3 linked regions of the Saccharomyces cerevisiae S288C genome follow. The gene in region 2 interacts genetically with the main gene of each other region. Each region holds a gene or a part of one and is shown on either strand. Other genes may lie near its edges.

Region 1 (5,690 bases), on a different chromosome or scaffold from region 2:
GAGAGGCGCTATGGGATCTATGAATCAGGTTTCTATCAATCTAGGTATCCTGCTGACCCAAACCTTGGCACTCAAGTACGCAGACTCCTATAACTGGAGGTGGCTTCTCTTTTCCGGATCCGTGATTGCGGTAGCGAATATTTTAGCTTGGCTCAAAGTGGACGAATCTCCAAGGTGGCTGGTGAGCCACGGATTCGTCTCGGAAGCTGAAACTGCTCTGTTCAAGTTGCGTCCAGGAACGTACCAACAAGCGAAGCAAGAAATTCAGGATTGGCAGCGTAGCCATGGGCACAACCGCGACCCGGAGTCAAGCGAAGAGACTCATTCAGGACCCACACTATGGCAATATGTTACCGATCCCTCATACAAGAAACCGCGCACAGTTATACTCGCCATCTTGTCGTGCCAGCAATTTTGCGGCATCAACTCTATTATCTTCTACGGTGTAAAAGTGATCGGCAAGATTCTACCGGACTACTCGATTCAGGTAAATTTTGCCATTTCCATCCTCAATGTCGTTGTCACTCTAGCAGCATCTGCGATCATCGACCACGTCGGGCGCCGTCCATTATTGCTTGCCTCGACTACGGTGATGACCGCCATGTCGCTGCTGATCAGTGTAGGTCTCACCTTGAGCGTATCCTTTTTACTGGTCACGGCCACTTTTGTCTATATTGCCGCATTCGCCATCGGTCTGGGACCCATCCCCTTCTTGATCATTGGTGAGCTATCCTACCCGCAGGATGCCGCTACAGCTCAAAGTTTTGGTACTGTGTGCAACTGGCTTGCCACCTTCATCGTCGGATACCTCTTCCCGATAGGCCACGGCCTCATGGGCGGCTACGTATTTGCGATCTTCGCCGCCATCGCTGCCATGTTTGCTACATATGTGTACAAGCGTGTACCCGAGACAAAGGGCAAGACTACATACAGCGAGGTTTGGGCTGGCTACTGATCTGTAGCCAGTCATATATACCTAAGCAACTATTTTTTACTTCTTTCTAGCTATTCATCTGTTTTTTATTTTCTTCTTCTTCTAGTAACGAACGGCTACATGAGTATATGCACTCATTTAGTTAGTATCTATGTATATGTACGGAACTAGGCAAACCAAATGGATTGCTGTTGTATGAGATCCGTGTGGCGGAAACCATGACTACCGCTTGTACTGCCGGGGCCAAAATAGCACACGCGCGTCATGAGTCGCTCACGGGCGAGCGTCTATCTGCATATTTTCCTGAGCCCAATATTCGGTTCTGCGTCTTAGCGGCATAAATGCATCCGGCAGGACTGCCGAGAAAAGGAATATACAATGGCAGCCCTCTTGGCGCATTTGATGTATGCGGATTTCCAACCAATCTGCGAATGCATCCGTGCCAAAATGAAACGGCATTTAGCTTGAAAGAGTCGGAATTCCTGCATCAGATGGGTACCATTTTACCACAGTCTTTTGACTCACGCAGAGTACTCGCGTGCAATTGCTTGCAGGTATAATATATACATATATATATATATATATATATATATATATATATATGTACAATTTGTATGACAAGTGGGTGCACCTTTCTCGGTCGGAATTATATGGGGAACTAATACTACGGGTTAGAGCTATAACAATTTCTGCACACTTTAAAAGCGTTTTCATTTCATTTCACCACGTATATATATAGCCTATATATATATCCGCACTAGAACCAAATGGTCAATAGTAAGAGGCAGCAGAGAAGCAAGAAAGTAGCGTCATCCTCCAAAGTGCCCCCCACCAAGGGGAGGACATTTACTGGGTGCTGGGCATGCAGATTCAAGAAACGCAGATGCGACGAGAATAGACCAATCTGTTCACTGTGTGCCAAACATGGAGATAATTGTAGTTACGATATCAGACTTATGTGGTTAGAGGAGAACATCTACAAAGTACGCAAGCATTCACTGATCAGTTCATTACAGGCTCGCAAATCGAAATCGAAACCATTGTGCCAGAAAATCTCAAAATCAAGGTTTAAACAAATGACCCATTTTAGACAACTATCACCCCCGACAAGTGACTGCGAAGACAGCGTGCACGAGGCAAGTAAGGAAACTACGCTTCCTAACGATAATACATTCACCATAAGCGTACGGAGATTGAAGATATACAATAACGCTGTGGCCTCTGTCTTTGGTAGCATGACAAATAGAGATTATACTCAAAAGCGCATAGACAAGAAGTTGGACGAATTGCTTAATATGGTGGAAAACGACATATCTGTGGTCAACCTCAATTGCTCCAAACACGGGCCTTACTCAGTTTTCAGGGCCAATCCGGCTGCAGTTACCTCTGCTCTTACAGATCAGCTGCCGTCGCCGGGTCATTCGATGTCGTCAGCAGAGGAAACCACTACTGCAGCGCTGTCATCGCCGCCAGAAGACAGCACCTCTTTGATCGATATTATCCAAGGCAAAATTTTCGGGATCCTATGGTTTAATTGCTACGGGAACATGATATTGAACCGACAAGAATACACGACGTGGTTCATCAATAAGATGAGGAACTCGTTGACCACGGAATTCATACGCTTCCTTGGGAAAATAATTGACGACCCGGACATCAATATGGCCTCGTGCCTGTTCAAAGAGTGCATCGCTCGTTGGAGTTGTGTCGATTGGCAATCCATAGCTATAACAATGCTGGTCATCATTCATGGATATACCTGCCCCAACTTGACAAAGCTTCTAAGAGTGTGGTTTCTCCAGCAAAAGCTATTGAGATTTTCGATGTATCCGCTGGTCAACTTTATCATAAACAATACACAAGATTTAGACGTCCTGTACCATTGTAATGGATTGCTAGGGAATGCCGACTTATTCGAGGATCCCTACCAGGACGAGCTTACGTCGGAGTTACATGTCTTGGTCACGGAGCGCCTAGTGAATAGTTGGAAAGATACAATATTGCAACAACTTTGCTCATGTCAAGATACCACACTTTCATGTTCCCAACTGCGGTACTGGCAGCTACAACTGAAGTGTAATCAACAATTTTACAAGGATGTATATGCCATGCAGGACTAGGCTTATTGAGCCTTCCCTTCACTCATTTCAAGAAAAAAAAAGCCAAAAGCTTTGCTTGGATATTATACCCATTTTTAACGACATATTTTTTCCCACTACTTTAGATAGAAATTCATGATATTTTGTTTTATATTATATATGTATATATATATATGCACGAAAAAAAATTAAAGTTTATCACTGGGAGATAGGGTTTCCTATCTGCCAGGGTGAAACGTTTATTTTACTGATTTCTTTGTCTTTACTGACATTTATCGGATATCTATCTATCATTCTGAGCCTATGCTTTTTGTTAGCCGTAGACTAAAAAAAAAAAAAAATTGAAGGAAAAGAAATGAAAAAAGCAAATGAGTTGCAATTTTAGTATATTGTAAAAGAGTAACCACATAAAAAAACTAAACAAGAGCCGGTGCAACGGCATTACTCTCTTAGATAAAATTGCTAGTTATATAAAGTCAGGATACTCTTGAGCTATTTTTATCATTTCTTTTGGGTACAACAGACACACGAAGGTATAAAAATAAAATACATTGATGAATCATCGTGATGTGCACTCCAGATGAAAACGATTACAAAACATCAACTGACCCAGATACATCTGCAAATACAAATCATACTCTCGAAAAAAAGAAGAGAAAAAAGAGAAAAAACACAAACGTGGCATGCGTGAACTGTTCGAGATTGCATGTGTCATGTGAGGCCAAAAGGCCATGCTTACGATGTATCAGCAAGGGCCTCACGGCTACATGCGTTGACGCTCCAAGAAAGAAAAGCAAGTACTTGGCTGGAATACCGAATAGAGAGCTCCCAATGAACATACAACCGGACCTTCCACCCCGCAAGATCATGATACCCATTTATAACAACTCCAGCAATAGTAGCCTCAACGTAAATAACATGGGAGAACAGCAAAAATTCACCAGCCCACAACATATAGTTCACAAAGCTAAATTCCTATCGAATGCTGCAGATTCCGAGTACTCTATTCTGTCGAATATCATCTATCAAGACACATTGTCTAACAAGATCCCTATTGACATCCTGTACTCCAACACCAATTCCACATCCAACTCCACAATAGGCAATAGCAGTAACAATAGCCCTACGGGCACAAATACAAGCCCTGAAGAAACAGAAATGGAGAAAATTCGCCAGTTGTACAGCGAACAGCGAGCAAACATACCCCCACATCCGTATCCATCTTCCAATCAAAACGTTTATTCTATTCTACTGGGACCAAATTCAGCCAAGATTGTAGCTTCGCAAGTTAATCTTTTCGCGAACCATTTCCCCTTAGTGCCCGTTGATTCAGCTGATAATTCCTTAAACTTTAAAAGATTATTGCCACGGGACCCATCTGAAAAGAGCTCCCAAATTAATTGGGACTCAAGCATAAACCAATATTACTTGAACAGCGAAACGGTAACATTTCCCGAGTTGGCTATCCCCTTAAAGCGGAGGAAAAACCATTTGGTCTCTGTATCCCTGGAAAGCTGTTCACCAGACGCTGCCAACATCAAGAGCAATGTAGAATGGGAACATTCATTACGTTATTCTACTCCAATGGAAATATACACCTCCATAAATGCCCCCTTTTCGCATACACCTGGATTCCACCATCTTTTGGTGTACCTAAAGCATCGATTCAACCAGCAGGATCTGGTGAAGATGTGTCGGTCCATTGCCGAATTCCGGCCCATTTTCATTGCGTGTTCTGTAACTTTAACCGAGGAGGACATGATTTTTATGGAGCAATGCTACCAAAGAACTCTATTAGAATATGTAAAATTTATTGCACAAATCGGTACCCCGACATGTATTTGGCGAAGAAATGGTCAAATTTCTTATGTCAACGAGGAATTTGAAATTCTATGCGGATGGACAAGAGAGGAGCTACTAAACAAGATGACTTTTATCGTAGAGATCATGGACGATGAAAGTGTACGCGATTACTTCAAAACGCTCTCTAAAGTTGCATATAGGGACTTCAGAGGATCTGAGAAGATGAAAGTTTGCAGGCTCTTAAGCCCCATCAAGGGCAAGATAATTCATTGTTGCTGTATGTGGACATTAAAAAGAGATGTCTCTGGTTTGCCCCTCATGATCTTGGGTAACTTCATGCCCATACTCAATTGACTTTTTTTTTCTTTTTTTCTCATTTTACTACCTCGTATTATATAATACCTATGCATAGACCAAAAGTAAGTCAAGAACTGTGTTCTTTTAAAAGTGTTAACAGATTCCAGCAATTTTACTTGAAGCCTTGACCAGTTTCGTAGGCGTCTGCTCATTCTGGTCGATATCCAGAGGCTCGAGCACATATAACGAAGGGCCCCTATTGTGTATATGGCGGCCTTTACGAATCTTCCGATATTGGGTAGCTCCGTTTTTCTTCCCTTTTTTTTTTTTTTTTTCTTAAATTTCTTCTTCTTTTTTTGCTCTTCGTTTTATTTCACTCACCTGTTGTCGAAAAAAACATCAGGCGTATACCATCAAAAAACTCAACCAATTGAGCTAGTTTCACTTTCTGTACGCATGAGTTTCCAATGTCTCACAGGGCATGTCTCACACACCACCGCCTTCCACCTTACATAACGAACTGCGGAAAAACAGCATGCCACATGGTACCTAACTGG
Region 2 (8,777 bases):
GCAACAACTTCTTGTAAAGAATTCTCCTGTGTACTTTGCGTTCTTCTATGAGATGACCAACGTAACGGCGAAACGTTAACGTTGTCTACCCTATTGCTTTTGGCATGTTTGGACGAAATTGCCTTCAAGAACGCTGCATGAGCGGATGAATCTTCCAGAGAACTCAGAAACTTTTTGGATTCATCTAACGAGTGACAGCGCCTATGCTTAGCGGCAAATTTATTACTATAAGAGCCCTTTCGTATCTTTTCCGTCGGAGGTGGAGGAATCAAAGCTACTTGCTCATGTTCCTTTGATAGCTTAACCATTGCGCAGTTGAGTCTTGATTTTAGCGTGCGTGAAAACTCCCGTACGGAATCGTCATTCTCTTCCTCGATAACCGCTGTGGGAGAAACCAATGGGGGCGTGGGGGATGGAAACATTTCTGCATTCTTAGACCTGGGTGTTGTAGGTGTTATTGGTCCTGGAAAATGAAATTGTACGTTGTATTGATATGTGGGATCCTCATTGCCATCGGGCGAAGGGGCAGATGTAGGAGAATCTTGCGCTTCACTTATTGAAGTTTTGAAATATTTCCTTGCCGGCGTCGCCAGAAGGCTGTTAGATTCAGTATCCAGGTTGGGAGAGATCAATTCGTTTATCGTTAAGACTCTCGATTTGGGAGTCTCATTTACCGTTTCCCAATTAGGTGTCTTAAGAAACATTATATTCGTCTATTATTTATCCGTTTGTGCTCAGGTTCTTCTTCCATCCTCTTGAAAATACAATAAAATAACGAAACATTTCATTGCTTAGCCTTTCCTTAAATAAATTTCCTTATTCTCTATTCTTAGGCTCCTGTTCCCTTTTTAGCTTTTAGCCTTTAATGCACCGGTACGAGAATGTCCAAAAATAGAAATTCGCTACAATTAAATGACGCGTAAAAAAACAGTTAGAGGTAGTTGTTGAGAAGAAGACAACGTAGTGAATATGAGTGAATGATGTCTTTATAACTAACTAACTAATGACGACTAATGTTGTTGATACCATAGATAGGCAGATGCCTTTTTCCTGCGCTATACAATTTATAAATGAACAAGGCTGGCTAATAATATAAAAAATCAAAATCTTATTAAGAATGTTATGAAACATGTGTGCTAGGAAAGACAAATGGGTAGTGATGCTAGTTGAAGTTGATGAGCCTCGTTCTCCTTTTAGAGAGAGTATTGTTCTTATCATTGCTTGATGTAGCATTGTCGATACCTTCCTTCAAGAGAGCTTCCATGTCGTGATTACCGCACAATGGAATTTCCCCATTGAATATATAATAATCATTAGTAATGGCAGTCTTGCATAAGAAACAGTTTAGACAATCCACGTGGAATCGTTCCACCTTATCATTTTCCAGACATTCACCCTCTATGAAATTTGAACAAACCTTACAAATACTGTGATTCTCCTCGTGATAGTGCTTTTGACAATATGGTTCATCGCCTAGAATATAACAGGGAACATGTTTATTGAATTTGATACCACATTCAATGCATTTAAAACATTCACGATGCCATTGACCCGACAGTTCGTTTTCCTTTTTGGAAAACATTCTTTTCCCTGTGACTTCCAAGCCGCATGCTCTGCAAGGTCCCTCCCCAGGCGGATATTTAAACTCAATGGGCTCCGTTTCTTTATAATCTGCATCAGAGCTGTATCTCGTAGTGCCGCCGTTAGGTAATACATGAGAGTCATTAGATTTGGAATTATCAATTTCTTCTCTCAGATCTGTTATGTTGCGCTTATGCTGCAGTTGTAGTGCTTCAATTGTGGGAAGTTTCGTTCTGAAAGTTTCTTGCGAACCCATCCCTTCATTATTGGAGTATTCTACGTTCGACTGTTTAAACTTGTAAAAAATGGGTGTGCCACCATTAGTTGTAGATTCAGATGGCGCGTCTTCATCGACATCGCCTTTATCTACCAGAATAGTTTGTCTGGATAAGTTCGTATTGCTGTTTTGCACAATTGATGTTTGCTGCGTTACGGGTATATCCATGCTGGGATACCCAGATAAATATGCGCTTGACTTTTTGAATCTAGAAGCCTTTCTGTCCACTGCGTTGAGGCAATTGCCGTTCATATCGAGCTTTGCATTTCTAGATAGGGAAACATCGTCTAATTGAGCAATCAATTGTTCGACTTGGAGGTTCGTAGCAGTGTATGGTGTTTCCACGTTTTCTGAAGAAGTTATTGAAAGACGTTTCTCATTTAACCCATCAAGACTTAAATCTTCAACTTTTGTTGACGATGATGACACACCAGGTGATTTCTGTTCCTTTGAAGATTCCAGGCCAGAAAAGTTATCATCAGGATATATTTTAGAGTCTAGTGCGTTCATGGTTAAAGATGGTGTATTACTTTCCCTCGTAACATTAATTTCCGGAATTTTAGGTTCTGTATTCTTTTCCTCTTGTTTTGCTTCTGGAAAATCATCTTGAAGTGGTTCATTTTCAAGATTCATCTGTAGTTTAGGATCTGGTTCAAAATTTAGGCTTTCAATATCATTCTCATCCTCCTGCTGTCCTTCACTTTCATATTCGATTGAACTTTCCTCTTTTTGCTGTTCTTTTCCGAGTTTTTGGTCGAGCACACCTCTGTTATCGGTTTGGTTCATAGAATTTACAACGCTTGCAGTGTCATTTTGAGTCAGCATCATGAAACTTCTTTCAATAGGGCTCAAATCTTGTTCCCTTTCAGTATTACCAGCATCTTCTTGTTCGAAGTTGAAGGGGAAGTTATCTGCGGCTTGGAATTCCTTGTTAGCAGGTGATTTACATGTATGCCTAGAGGCAGCATATTGTTCCGCCTGACGGTCTAAGTCGCGTTCAAAACGGAAGGGATCCTCTTGCGAAGCACGCTCGCTGGGCCTGGAAATAGAACGAGATATGTCACTGGGTCTCGAAGACGTAAAATTGCTATTCTTTGGAGGAGTTACACTCCGCCTCTCGCTATTCTCCAATACGGGAGGCGGATAAATGTCAGACTCGCCCTTTACAGATGAATAAGCACTCTTTGAAGACGCCGTATACGCACTCTTCATCGTGACCGGAACAGATGGGGCGGCAGATACATTTCTTTGACGGGTTATTGGCGGCGACTTCACGGAAGCTTGTAAACTTCCAGTGGAAGCATTCCTCTGACTACTGAACGGATTACGCGGCTTAGTGTCAAACCCTGCTCTTTCTAGAGCAGTTTTGTAGCGGACCTTCGGATTTATTTTAGGGAAGGGGGACCCGTAGATTGAGTTATACATTGACTTGAGCGTTTCTTTTGCTAAATTTATTCTTGTTTTTCCCCTTACGTTATTCACTATAAGCTTTGAAGAAGCTTGAAAAAAATTCGGCTATAATATCCTATTCTAGCTGTATAAATTAAATATTCAACACAGCAGAAATATATTTTAAGGCTACCTCTTAAATTTGCAACACTCCAGCTTTTCTATTATTATTATTTACTTATTTTTTCATGTTTCCTATTATTCATGGAATTGAAAAAGGACGCGAATTGAAAATTTCGAAAGAAATAGGGCTAGGCGCTTCAAAAAGTCATTAGGTTTACTTACCAATATTAGTAGGTTAAATATTAGAAAAAAGGAAAAAAGATCTTAAGGGGTTTAAAAAAAGTAGGGTAAACTAGGGCTGACATATTACCCCTCTTATACGATAATTGCGACTATGAAACGCTAAACCACAATTATAAAGTATGGTTGATTCAAATTGTCATTATGTCATTATTGTACTCGTAAAAGAGGCCTGTATTCAAGTATTTGATCAAAAAAATTAGCGCTGTAATAATTATTGAAGGGAGTACAGGTATATGTAATAAAAGTCTGAATGAGCAGCAAAATATCAGATCTTACATCTACACAAAATAAGCCCCTCCTTGTTACGCAACAACTAATCGAAAAATATTACGAACAGATCCTGGGCACTTCCCAGAACATAATTCCTATTTTAAATCCGAAGAACAAGTTTATTAGGCCCAGTAAGGATAATTCAGATGTTGAAAGGGTGGAGGAGGATGCTGGTAAAAGACTGCAAACTGGCAAGAACAAAACTACGAACAAAGTAAATTTCAACCTGGATACTGGAAACGAGGATAAACTTGACGATGACCAAGAGACAGTAACAGAAAATGAAAATAATGATATCGAGATGGTTGAGACAGACGAAGGCGAAGATGAAAGGCAAGGGTCATCTTTAGCCAGTAAATGCAAATCATTTCTTTACAACGTTTTTGTGGGAAACTATGAAAGAGACATTCTTATTGACAAAGTCTGTTCACAAAAGCAACATGCGATGTCATTTGAAGAATGGTGTTCTGCGGGCGCCAGATTGGATGACCTCACTGGGAAAACAGAATGGAAGCAGAAATTGGAAAGTCCCTTGTATGATTACAAGCTAATAAAAGATTTAACATCTAGAATGCGTGAGGAGCGCTTGAATAGGAATTACGCTCAATTGTTGTACATCATTAGGACGAATTGGGTACGAAACCTGGGAAATATGGGGAATGTAAACCTATATAGGCACTCCCATGTAGGCACCAAATATTTAATTGACGAGTATATGATGGAGTCTAGGTTAGCGCTAGAATCTTTAATGGAGTCTGATCTTGATGATAGTTACCTTTTGGGTATACTGCAACAAACGAGAAGAAATATTGGTCGTACCGCTTTAGTTCTCAGTGGGGGTGGAACTTTTGGTCTTTTCCACATCGGTGTCCTTGGTACTCTATTTGAATTGGATTTATTACCCAGAGTGATTAGTGGTAGCAGTGCTGGTGCAATTGTAGCAAGCATATTATCTGTCCATCACAAAGAAGAAATTCCGGTTTTACTAAATCATATTTTGGATAAAGAATTCAACATTTTCAAAGACGATAAACAGAAAAGTGAAAGCGAGAATTTGTTAATAAAAATATCTAGGTTCTTCAAAAACGGTACGTGGTTTGATAACAAGCATCTGGTAAATACAATGATAGAATTTTTGGGAGATTTGACATTTAGGGAAGCTTACAATAGAACGGGTAAAATTTTGAATATAACCGTTTCGCCGGCATCTTTATTTGAACAACCGCGCTTGCTGAATAATTTGACTGCACCAAACGTCCTGATTTGGTCCGCCGTATGTGCATCATGTTCACTACCGGGAATTTTCCCCTCGAGCCCACTTTACGAAAAAGATCCAAAAACGGGAGAAAGGAAACCATGGACTGGTAGTAGTTCGGTCAAATTTGTCGATGGTTCTGTGGACAATGACTTGCCCATTTCTCGTCTTTCTGAAATGTTTAATGTAGACCATATTATCGCATGCCAGGTGAATATTCACGTATTTCCCTTTTTGAAACTATCACTATCCTGTGTTGGCGGGGAAATTGAGGACGAATTTAGTGCAAGATTAAAGCAAAACTTATCAAGTATATACAATTTTATGGCCAATGAAGCTATTCATATTCTAGAAATTGGAAGTGAGATGGGAATTGCCAAAAACGCGCTTACAAAACTGAGATCGGTATTATCTCAACAATATTCTGGTGACATCACTATTTTGCCCGACATGTGTATGCTTTTTAGAATAAAGGAGCTGTTGTCAAACCCAACAAAAGAATTTTTATTAAGGGAAATCACCAATGGTGCAAAAGCTACGTGGCCCAAGGTTTCCATTATTCAAAATCACTGTGGCCAGGAATTTGCTCTGGATAAGGCGATTTCTTATATCAAAGGTAGGATGATTGTCACCTCCTCTTTAAAAACCCCCTTCCAATTTGCTGATTCAGTCATTGGATTAATTAAAGCTCCAGAGCAAACGTCAGATGAGTCCAAAAACCCAGAAAATTCAACATTGCTAACTAGGACTCCAACCAAGGGTGACAATCATATTTCCAATGTTTTAGATGACAACTTATTAGAATCAGAATCGACAAACTCTTTGCTATTGTTACGTGAGAATGCAAGCACATATGGGCGGTCACCTTCCGGGTTTAGACCGCGGTATTCCATTACGTCCGCTTCTCTCAATCCGCGTCACCAAAGAAGGAAATCAGATACTATTTCAACTTCAAGGCGACCAGCCAAATCCTTTTCATTTTCAGTTGCTTCTCCCACATCAAGGATGTTGAGGCAATCCAGCAAAATCAATGGACACCCACCGCCAATTCTGCAGAAAAAAACAAGTATGGGCCGGCTAATGTTTCCTATGGATGCCAAGACCTATGACCCGGAAAGCCATGAACTTATCCCACATTCTGCCAGCATTGAAACACCTGCCATGGTAGACAAGAAATTGCATTTTGGCCGAAAGAGTAGATACTTGAGGCATATGAACAAAAAATGGGTCAGCAGTAGCAACATATTATACACAGATTCGGATAAAGAAGACCATCCTACATTGAGACTGATAAGTAACTTCGATTCAGACGCAATGATTCATAGTGATTTAGCGGGCAATTTCAGGCGTCATAGCATTGATGGAAGACCCCCTTCTCAAGCTACAAAGAGCTCACCGTTTCGATCGAGGCCTTCTTCTTCAACGCAGCACAAAAGCACCACCAGTTTTACTCAATAAGAAAACACGGGCTTGCTTATATATCCTCTAGATATTCTTTTTCATCTATGTATTTATTCGAATGGCCTTTCTCATTCATATCATTTTCAAAGCGGAAATCGAAATCATTGTTTTCTCTCGAGCTGCACTAAGAAAAAAAGCCACTTTACTAAAACAATACCTTCAACATATTTGAAAATATTATTATGGTGGAAGAAAGATATTGGTTACACAAATGAGTCAGTCTTACGAAGCAGGAAATGCCAATATGGGCCAAGGGGAGGATGATGAATTTGATGGCTATTTCGAAGACTTTGACAACGATATCATGCCAAATAGTAATAATGGACAAAGGGTTGGTACTAATGCTGGATTGTCATTCAATGACGAAGTAAATGTTAATGATGATGATTTTTTAGACATTTATAATATGTCCCCTAGAGAGAGATTGATGCATAATATCAGGAAGAATGTTCAAAAATTACAGTTTTATTTTTATTCACTACGCTTATGGCAACAGATTATCATTGTCCTCCTCGGCATAATGCTAATGATAATGGGTATATTGTTGCTCGTCTTCCATAATGCGATTTTACATAAAGTTGTTGTTACTTCGAACGATTTGAGAGAAAAGATGTCAACACATTTTATATTAATGGTTCTGATATTCTTTGTCGCATTTCCTCCTATGATTGGCTACTCCTTATTATCCACCACTACTGGGTTGATCTATGGTGTCAGTTTTGAGGGATGGGTTACGCTAGCTTTGGGATCTGTAACAGGTTCCATTGCCTCTTTCGTTGTGTTCAAGACGATCTTGCATTCAAGAGCAGAAAAGCTTGTGCATTTGAATAGAAGATTTGAAGCATTGGCTTCAATTTTACAAGAAAACAATAGCTATTGGATTCTAGCTCTACTGAGATTATGTCCCTTCCCATATTCTTTGACTAATGGTGCCATAGCTGGTGTTTACGGTATCTCGGTACGCAACTTTTCCATTGCCAACATAATAACCACACCAAAGCTGTTCATCTATCTATTTATAGGTTCTCGTGTAAAGAGTCTCGCAGAATCTGAATCTACAGGATCTAGGGTATTTGACTTGGTAAGCATTATTATCACATTATTAATCCTAAGTCTTACAGCATGGCTCTTATACTTCAAGACTAAGAAGAGATATTTAGAACTACAAAACCGCGACCGTCAAGTGTCCACTGATCAACTACCTGAATTGTCTTTTGAGGTCTAATCCTCCGTATACGTTTATATATGTTTAGATAAGTTGGTTTTATATGGGTAACCCAAATTACTATTTCTACTTCTTTCTACGTCCGATATAAAGAACTTAAAAGACAAAAAGCAGTTTTTCGAAGCGACATCAACCAATCTAAGTTAAGGTATGGAAAGATAAAATACAAGAAATGTTACGCAACATCATCAGGTTCAAAGGATTTGGAAAAGGGACCAGTGGAGGATTTTTAAAACCTGTATCATTTCGTGTTCAGTTAACGCGATGTTACCGCTATGACAATGGTCCTTCATATCGTCGATTTAATAATGGAGAGTATTCCCAAAAATCATCGTTTAAAAGCATTCTTCTCGATAAGTCATCAAGAAAATACTTAGCTTTATTATTTGGTGGATGCTCTCTCTTTTATTATACACATTTGGATAAAGCACCGGTAAGCGATAGGTCCAGGTTCATCTGGGTATCGCGTCCATTAGAGTTAACTATCGGAAATTACACATACAAATCAATTTGGAGACAAACGCAGCAGGAAATATTACCTCCACAGCATCCGCTGTCCATCAAAATTGAGAATATTTTCATGAAAATTGTCGAAGCTGCTTATAAGGACCCTAGTGTAGACAACTCACTACTGGACGGAATCAAGTGGGAAATTCATGTGGTCAATGATCCAACTGCTTCACCAAATGCATTCGTTTTACCAGGGGGTAAGGTCTTTATATTCAGCTCTATTTTACCTATTTGTGCTAATGATGATGGGATTGCCACTGTTTTAGCACACGAATTTGCTCATCAGCTAGCAAGACACACAGCCGAAAATTTGTCGAAGGCTCCTATATATTCTCTTTTGGGTTTGGTGTTATATACTGTTACTGGAGCTCATGCTATCAACAATATACTATTGGATGGGTTTTTGCGAATGCCAGCATCAAGACAGATGGAAACCGAAGCTG
Region 3 (6,007 bases), on a different chromosome or scaffold from region 2:
AGCGGCCTAACTTGTTCAGAATTAAACAATAAGTTCATCACACCTCTTTTGAGGCAATGCAAAGTGCTAATCATTGTTTCCAATTCGGACATATTTAATATAGATGAATACGATGCTTCTGTTCATTCCTCGAATCTGCAAAATTTCTACAAATCTTCCTTTATCAAATCAATGATTAATTTGAACTTGAATCCTCTGAAGACCGGTTTTGCAAAGGACGTAACCGGCTCATTGCACGTTTGCAGGGGCGGCGCACCCATTGCAACTTCAAACACAAGCCTACACGTCGTTGAAAATGAATACCTATATCTGAATGAGAAGGAGTCAACAAAACTATTTTATCGCTAAATAATGATAAGATTATATACGAGGCACATTGATTCTCGTATTATTGTTTTTTCTATGAACTGAATATATTTTTAAGTACAATATCAATGAAAAATATATGCAATCGAGCTCTATCAATAAAAAAAATAAGACAGAAAAAAGTGGAAACGATACTACCTACTCCGTCTTGCTCTTATTATGTCGTCTAATTTAAATTCGACTGCACATCTTGTCTTAATTAAAGCTAGTGCGGGCCATGTACTTCGTTCACCAGATTTTATCCAGTATGGAATGTTGTTTAGTTGACCTTCAATAATCCTTGTTAATGATAGACTTTTCATCCTTGGTACCACAGCAATCTCCGTAGCTGATCTGGGAGTCTTTTCATCAATTATTAGTCTTTTTATTAATGAGCACAACAGGCCTAAATTATCCAATACCTCCATCCTATGTCGAAATTCCATAGTGGCAATATTTTTTAATTTTCTTTCCAGATGATACTTAAATTTAAACGCCAGCGGTTCCATTTCAGTAAAGTTCAACTGCGGTATGCCCAATTCTGGGATTATGTACTCTGCTGAATCGTTGACTGCCGAACTTGGGGGCACAGGGCTCATTAAAGGCTCTGGCTCAAGATCCTCGACAGTTCCTGCCTTTATGGGTGATTGCGAAGAGGATCTCTGTGTTTTTCTTACTGTATTCGCGTTTATAGGAGGCATATTTGGATAATGCTTATAATAGTAATATTTTGACGTTTTTATTTCATGCTTCAAATCATTTACCACCAATGGTGCCAAGTATGGTCTCGCCAAAGAAACAATGAAGTTATTAACATTGAATAGTTCCGTTAACCTAGTATAGGGGCTCTCCGTTATGCTCGGATTGTTGGCATTTTCTGGGGTAAGAAATTTGACTTGTTTATTTTTATTGATGTTAAGAAAAGGCTCAATTTCATTTTCTAAATTTTTACATAATAGTGATGTATCCTCTGAAATTACACCAGAACCAAGTGAGCATTCAATGGCTGACTTGATTAATACGTTTGGGGTTGTCACATAATTTAGTAAATTAGGGCATGATTTATCAGTTGGATGAATAACAATATTGAAAACTTTTCCAGTAATTTGATAAACTTCTTCAAAAGTTTTTTCCTTAACAATATATTTCATAACAAACCGGATAAAAAGATAAACGTCTTGAGAATAACCGTGGTGTATTAGGTTCTGAATCAAAGTCCCCAGGTTTAGGTGCTGCTCTAAATTACCGTATCCACAGCTTTTTAATAAATCTACATCATTCTTGATGATATTCAAGAGGTTGTCATCGGTCAATAATTGCTTTAGTTGCTCATTGGACAAGCAACCGAATAAACTTGCAACGCATGCCCCCATAGAGCTACCACTTATAATATTAGGCATCAGGTCCTGTAACAATAAACCTCTAATCACCCCAAGGTGAAACAGCCCAAACAATGAACCACCTTGCAAGATTAATGCTGTTGTGCCCAGTGACAACTTACATCTTTGGAAAAAGGATGTTGGAGTTAAAGTTTGATTATTTAATATATCCAAGCCTTCTAGAATTCGGGTCAAATATTGTTCAATAAGTAGCTTTGTACCCATCAAAGATTTTGTGAACAACTTTTTATCTCCAATACCCGCAAAGTTCCTCAACATACAAGGGCCTGTAGTCGAAAACTTCTCCTTAACTACATCATACTTCTCCTCCCTTAACATATTTTCCAATATGCTATATTGTTCAATGACAGAATTGAAGTCGTACCTCCTCGAAAAGAAATTCCGCCGCCATAAATTTGCGCCTGTTATTTCATCCACTACGGACGCTTGCTGACACCACATTTGATACGTATCACACTCATCTAACTTCTTAATAGCGTTATAATAAATGACTCTTGAGTGTGGCCGCACATAGTTAATCAGCTTTTGAACCCAGAAGAAATAAATATCGGTGATGACATGTAGAATTTCCCACACAAAAGGAGGTATATGGTCCAATGTGGCATACACTACACGCAGTATCCAGTTTTTCAAAAGGGTCGGTATTACAGCAGACACCTTGTATTCCTGCGCCGTTTCCTTCATGCTTAACGGCAACTCAAAGATGTGATATATGAATAGATGATTCCCTTACTATTGTGTCATAGTACTTCTCTATGTAATCAGTACTAATTTCTATTAGCTGCTACCCAGAAAAAAAAAAACATAAGAAAAAAAGGGTTAGGGTTGAATTTTCAGACCTAGGATAAGTATCTCCGAAATTACTAAAAACCTAGTATTTATTAAAATGCCCTACTAAAAAAGTAAAAATGACCTATAAAGAACATACCCTATTATAGAGTGGCAAAATTAAAAATTCAAAAGTATCGTCAAAGTATGGAAAAGAACCAAGACGCCACTACATTTAGGTAGACGTGGTGATCAATTGAAGTTCAAGAGAAGTGGGTAAGAATACATTGAACTAAGCCTTCATATATTTACAAAACATGTTCAGGAACAATTACGACGGGGACACAGTCACTTTTTCTCCTACAGGCCGTCTGTTCCAAGTGGAATACGCCTTGGAAGCTATTAAACAAGGGAGCGTCACTGTGGGGTTACGTTCGAACACTCATGCTGTTTTAGTAGCGTTGAAAAGAAATGCAGACGAATTGTCATCATACCAGAAAAAAATCATCAAATGTGACGAGCACATGGGGCTCTCGTTAGCCGGGTTGGCTCCAGATGCTAGAGTTTTAAGTAATTATTTGAGACAACAGTGTAATTACTCCAGCTTAGTTTTTAACAGAAAGCTTGCCGTCGAGAGAGCAGGTCATTTGCTTTGCGATAAAGCACAGAAAAATACACAATCCTATGGGGGCAGACCCTACGGTGTTGGTTTGTTGATCATCGGGTATGACAAGAGCGGTGCTCATCTTTTAGAATTCCAACCTTCCGGAAATGTCACAGAACTATATGGTACAGCTATTGGCGCAAGAAGCCAAGGGGCAAAGACTTATCTAGAGAGAACTTTAGACACGTTTATAAAAATTGACGGGAACCCGGATGAACTAATCAAAGCTGGCGTCGAGGCTATCAGCCAGTCTCTAAGGGACGAATCCTTGACTGTAGACAATCTTTCAATCGCCATCGTGGGTAAGGATACGCCTTTTACAATTTACGATGGAGAAGCTGTTGCTAAATACATCTAGGTCTGGACACAAAGTATCGTTTCCACTAAGCAATTGTCAAAGCAAGACCAAAGAAGCCTTTCACCACGGTCGGGGTTTTTTTACATATAAAGATAATAATAGATTAACTTAGTACGTAGTCTCACTTCTCATTCAAAATTAAAAAAGACGTGGCTTCCAAATCAACTAATAACCCCGCTTAATTCCGCCCTCCGCCGGGGAATAAACGGAGTTATCCCCTGTTGAAAATTCAGCATGATTATGTATCACAATACATAGGTGTTCGTCTATAAAAAGAACTACTTATTCTGGATAAACTTTCGAACTCGCTCAAACCTATTTGTTTCTGTACATCGAATAGACCCATAATCACTTCTTGGTTCCAAAAAGTAAAGTAATAGCCAAAAATGTCCCCATTGAACGTCGGTATAGTTGGTACAGGTATTTTTGCCAGAGATAGACATCTCCCATCCTACCAGGAATTTCCTGACAAATTCAAAGTCATTGCCGCCTTCAACAGACATAAGGCAAAAGCTTTGGATTTTGCAAAGGTTGCTGACATACCTGAAAATAAGGTTTACGACAATCTAGATGAAATTTTGAATGACCCTCATGTCGACTACATTGACGCTTTGCTACCTGCTCAATTTAATGCTGATATTGTCGAGAAGGCAGTTAAAGCAGGTAAGCCAGTTATTTTGGAAAAACCAATTGCGGCCAACTTAGACCAAGCAAAGGAGATTGTCAAGATAGCAGAATCCACCCCATTGCCCGTTGGTGTGGCTGAAAATTGGTTATATTTACCATGTATTAAAATCGCAAAGGAGCAGATCGAGAAAATTGGTCCTGTAGTAGCATTCACCCACAATTCTACCGGTCCATTTGTTACTCAAAATAAATATTTGACCACAACCTGGAGACAAAAACCAGAGCACATTGGCGGATTTCTATCTGATGGTGGTGTCCACCAATTAGCTCTCGTTATTTCCCTACTCGGTGAATTTGGATCTGTTTCTGCATTAACGAGACAGGTGCGTGAACGTTCCGGTGCAGATGATATTGTCTTTGCTACTGTCCAGTTGAAAAATAAAGAGGTTATCGGAAGTTTTACTTATGGGTCTGCCTTTGGTGCTACCGAAAAGTCGGTTTTCTTGAAAGTCTATGGTAAGAATGGTACCGTTACCGTTGACTTATCAGACAAAAAAGACCCCGTTGTAAAAGTCAAATTAGGGGGTTCAGCTGAAGATAACGGTGACGAACAAATTTTTAAAGTCGATAATGATGAAAGTTTCGGCGTCAACGCTGAATTTTTGAATTTTCACGAAGCTGTCAGCAAGAAGGACAAATCCTTATACCTAGGCACACCCAGAACTGCATTTCACCATTTGGCTTGTGTGGACGCGTTTTTAAAATCTTCTGCCAAGAATGGTGACTACGTTAAAATTGAGCAGCCATGATTACCGTTTTACGATGTAACGCTTTTTTAACCTTAATAGATAGATTCCCTCATATATTTATAACTATGTACCCACATAAGTATACTTTTGGAATGATAATACTAACGAGATAAAAAACCGTTGAAAAATTTCTAAGTTTTCTTGAACTAAAAATAGCCAAAATTCTCCATCCACTTGTTGTTGCAAAATGTTACGAAGGCGAGGTTCTTGGAAATCTGGATGATTATGGGAAAATTCGTTCAACAAGAACGCCGAGCCTGGACGAAATACTTAGTCGGCATGGAACTAGTTATGAATGACTTTTCCTATATAAGATCTACAACCGTTTCCAATTCACCATGAGATATATATATGTTTAACGAATCAGGTACTCGTCCGAAGCATTTCGAGTAATGCAACCCCACAAGTGTCCCCCAAGAATTCACTGGGATTTTTGATGACCGAAAGAAAGCTATTGCAGCTGCTACGGCGTCCTTTCATCTCCCTTTCTTTATTCACGGCCTTAAGAGCTTGTCCGCTTCGCCCCAAAAGCCTAATTGCTTAGAGCATGAGAGTTGAAAACGACCAGAAGTGTCGTTTTAGGTAAGCATTCGGCCATAATGAACAGTAAGTTTGTCCGAAAAATACACCGCTAGGGTTCGATAACGAAGAGCGCATATCAATTGCGTTGTCGACTTAATTGCTCTCTTAGTACAACGGTATGTGTCAGTGATAAAATCCTACCGGTTCCACTTTTTGTGAGCGATAGATGACGGAACGTATGCGCCTATTTCTTTTTTTTGGCGCAGCAAGGGACAATGGTCCCTTTTTGAGAAAATGTTGTAGGCTTGGCCATCGGCGTGAACGCATATAAAAAGAAGACTGCCAACATGACAGTATTTGAAACAACTACAGATTTGGCAAAGTTCGCCAAGATAAAGAAGACCGAAGCAGGTGCTAAGCTTCCATTAAAAGTTTTTCAAGAAAAATCTGATTATGGGTTCAATAAGTAGATACCTTCTTAAGAAAGCAGCAGATGGGCTTAAAGATGAGCAGA

What was found. A genetic interaction does not mean that the proteins touch.
Region 1: mutations in TGL4 (region 2) and ERT1 together harm fitness more than expected from each alone (negative genetic interaction), as found in Saccharomyces cerevisiae (2 studies listed by BioGRID).
Region 3: of TGL4 (region 2) and TGL3, changing one enhances a phenotype caused by changing the other (phenotypic enhancement), as found in Saccharomyces cerevisiae (3 studies listed by BioGRID, with this or other methods).

What each region holds. Positions count from the first base shown.
Region 1 is NC_001134.8:697,854-703,543, reverse strand, and holds ERT1 (Ert1p), read left to right. Parts: upstream 1-3,600; coding exon 3,601-5,190; downstream 5,191-5,690. Other genes in the region: VVS1 (Vvs1p), read left to right, coding at 1-955; THI2 (Thi2p), read left to right, coding at 1,702-3,054. UniProt on the Saccharomyces cerevisiae protein: Transcription factor which regulates nonfermentable carbon utilization. Activator of gluconeogenetic genes like PCK1. Involved in restriction of Ty1 transposition.
Region 2 is NC_001143.9:603,452-612,228, reverse strand, and holds TGL4 (triacylglycerol lipase), read left to right. Parts: upstream 1-3,863; coding exon 3,864-6,596; downstream 6,597-8,777. Other genes in the region: DNA-binding protein SRL3, read right to left, coding at 1-704; PXL1 (Pxl1p), read right to left, coding at 1,163-3,283; TVP38 (Tvp38p), read left to right, coding at 6,811-7,824; OMA1 (metalloendopeptidase), read left to right, coding at 7,997-8,777. UniProt on the Saccharomyces cerevisiae protein: Lipid particle-localized triacylglycerol (TAG) lipase. The lipid droplet/particle is a lipid storage compartment which serves as a depot of energy and building blocks for membrane lipid biosynthesis.
Region 3 is NC_001145.3:898,879-904,885, forward strand, and holds TGL3 (bifunctional triglyceride lipase/lysophosphatidylethanolamine acyltransferase), read right to left. Parts: upstream 2,430-6,007; coding exon 501-2,429; downstream 1-500. Other genes in the region: Elongator subunit ELP6, read left to right, coding at 1-348; PRE5 (proteasome core particle subunit alpha 6), read left to right, coding at 2,831-3,535; YMR315W (uncharacterized protein), read left to right, coding at 3,922-4,971; YMR315W-A (uncharacterized protein), read left to right, coding at 5,408-5,515; DIA1 (Dia1p), read left to right, coding at 5,947-6,007. UniProt on the Saccharomyces cerevisiae protein: Lipid particle-localized triacylglycerol (TAG) lipase. The lipid droplet/particle is a lipid storage compartment which serves as a depot of energy and building blocks for membrane lipid biosynthesis.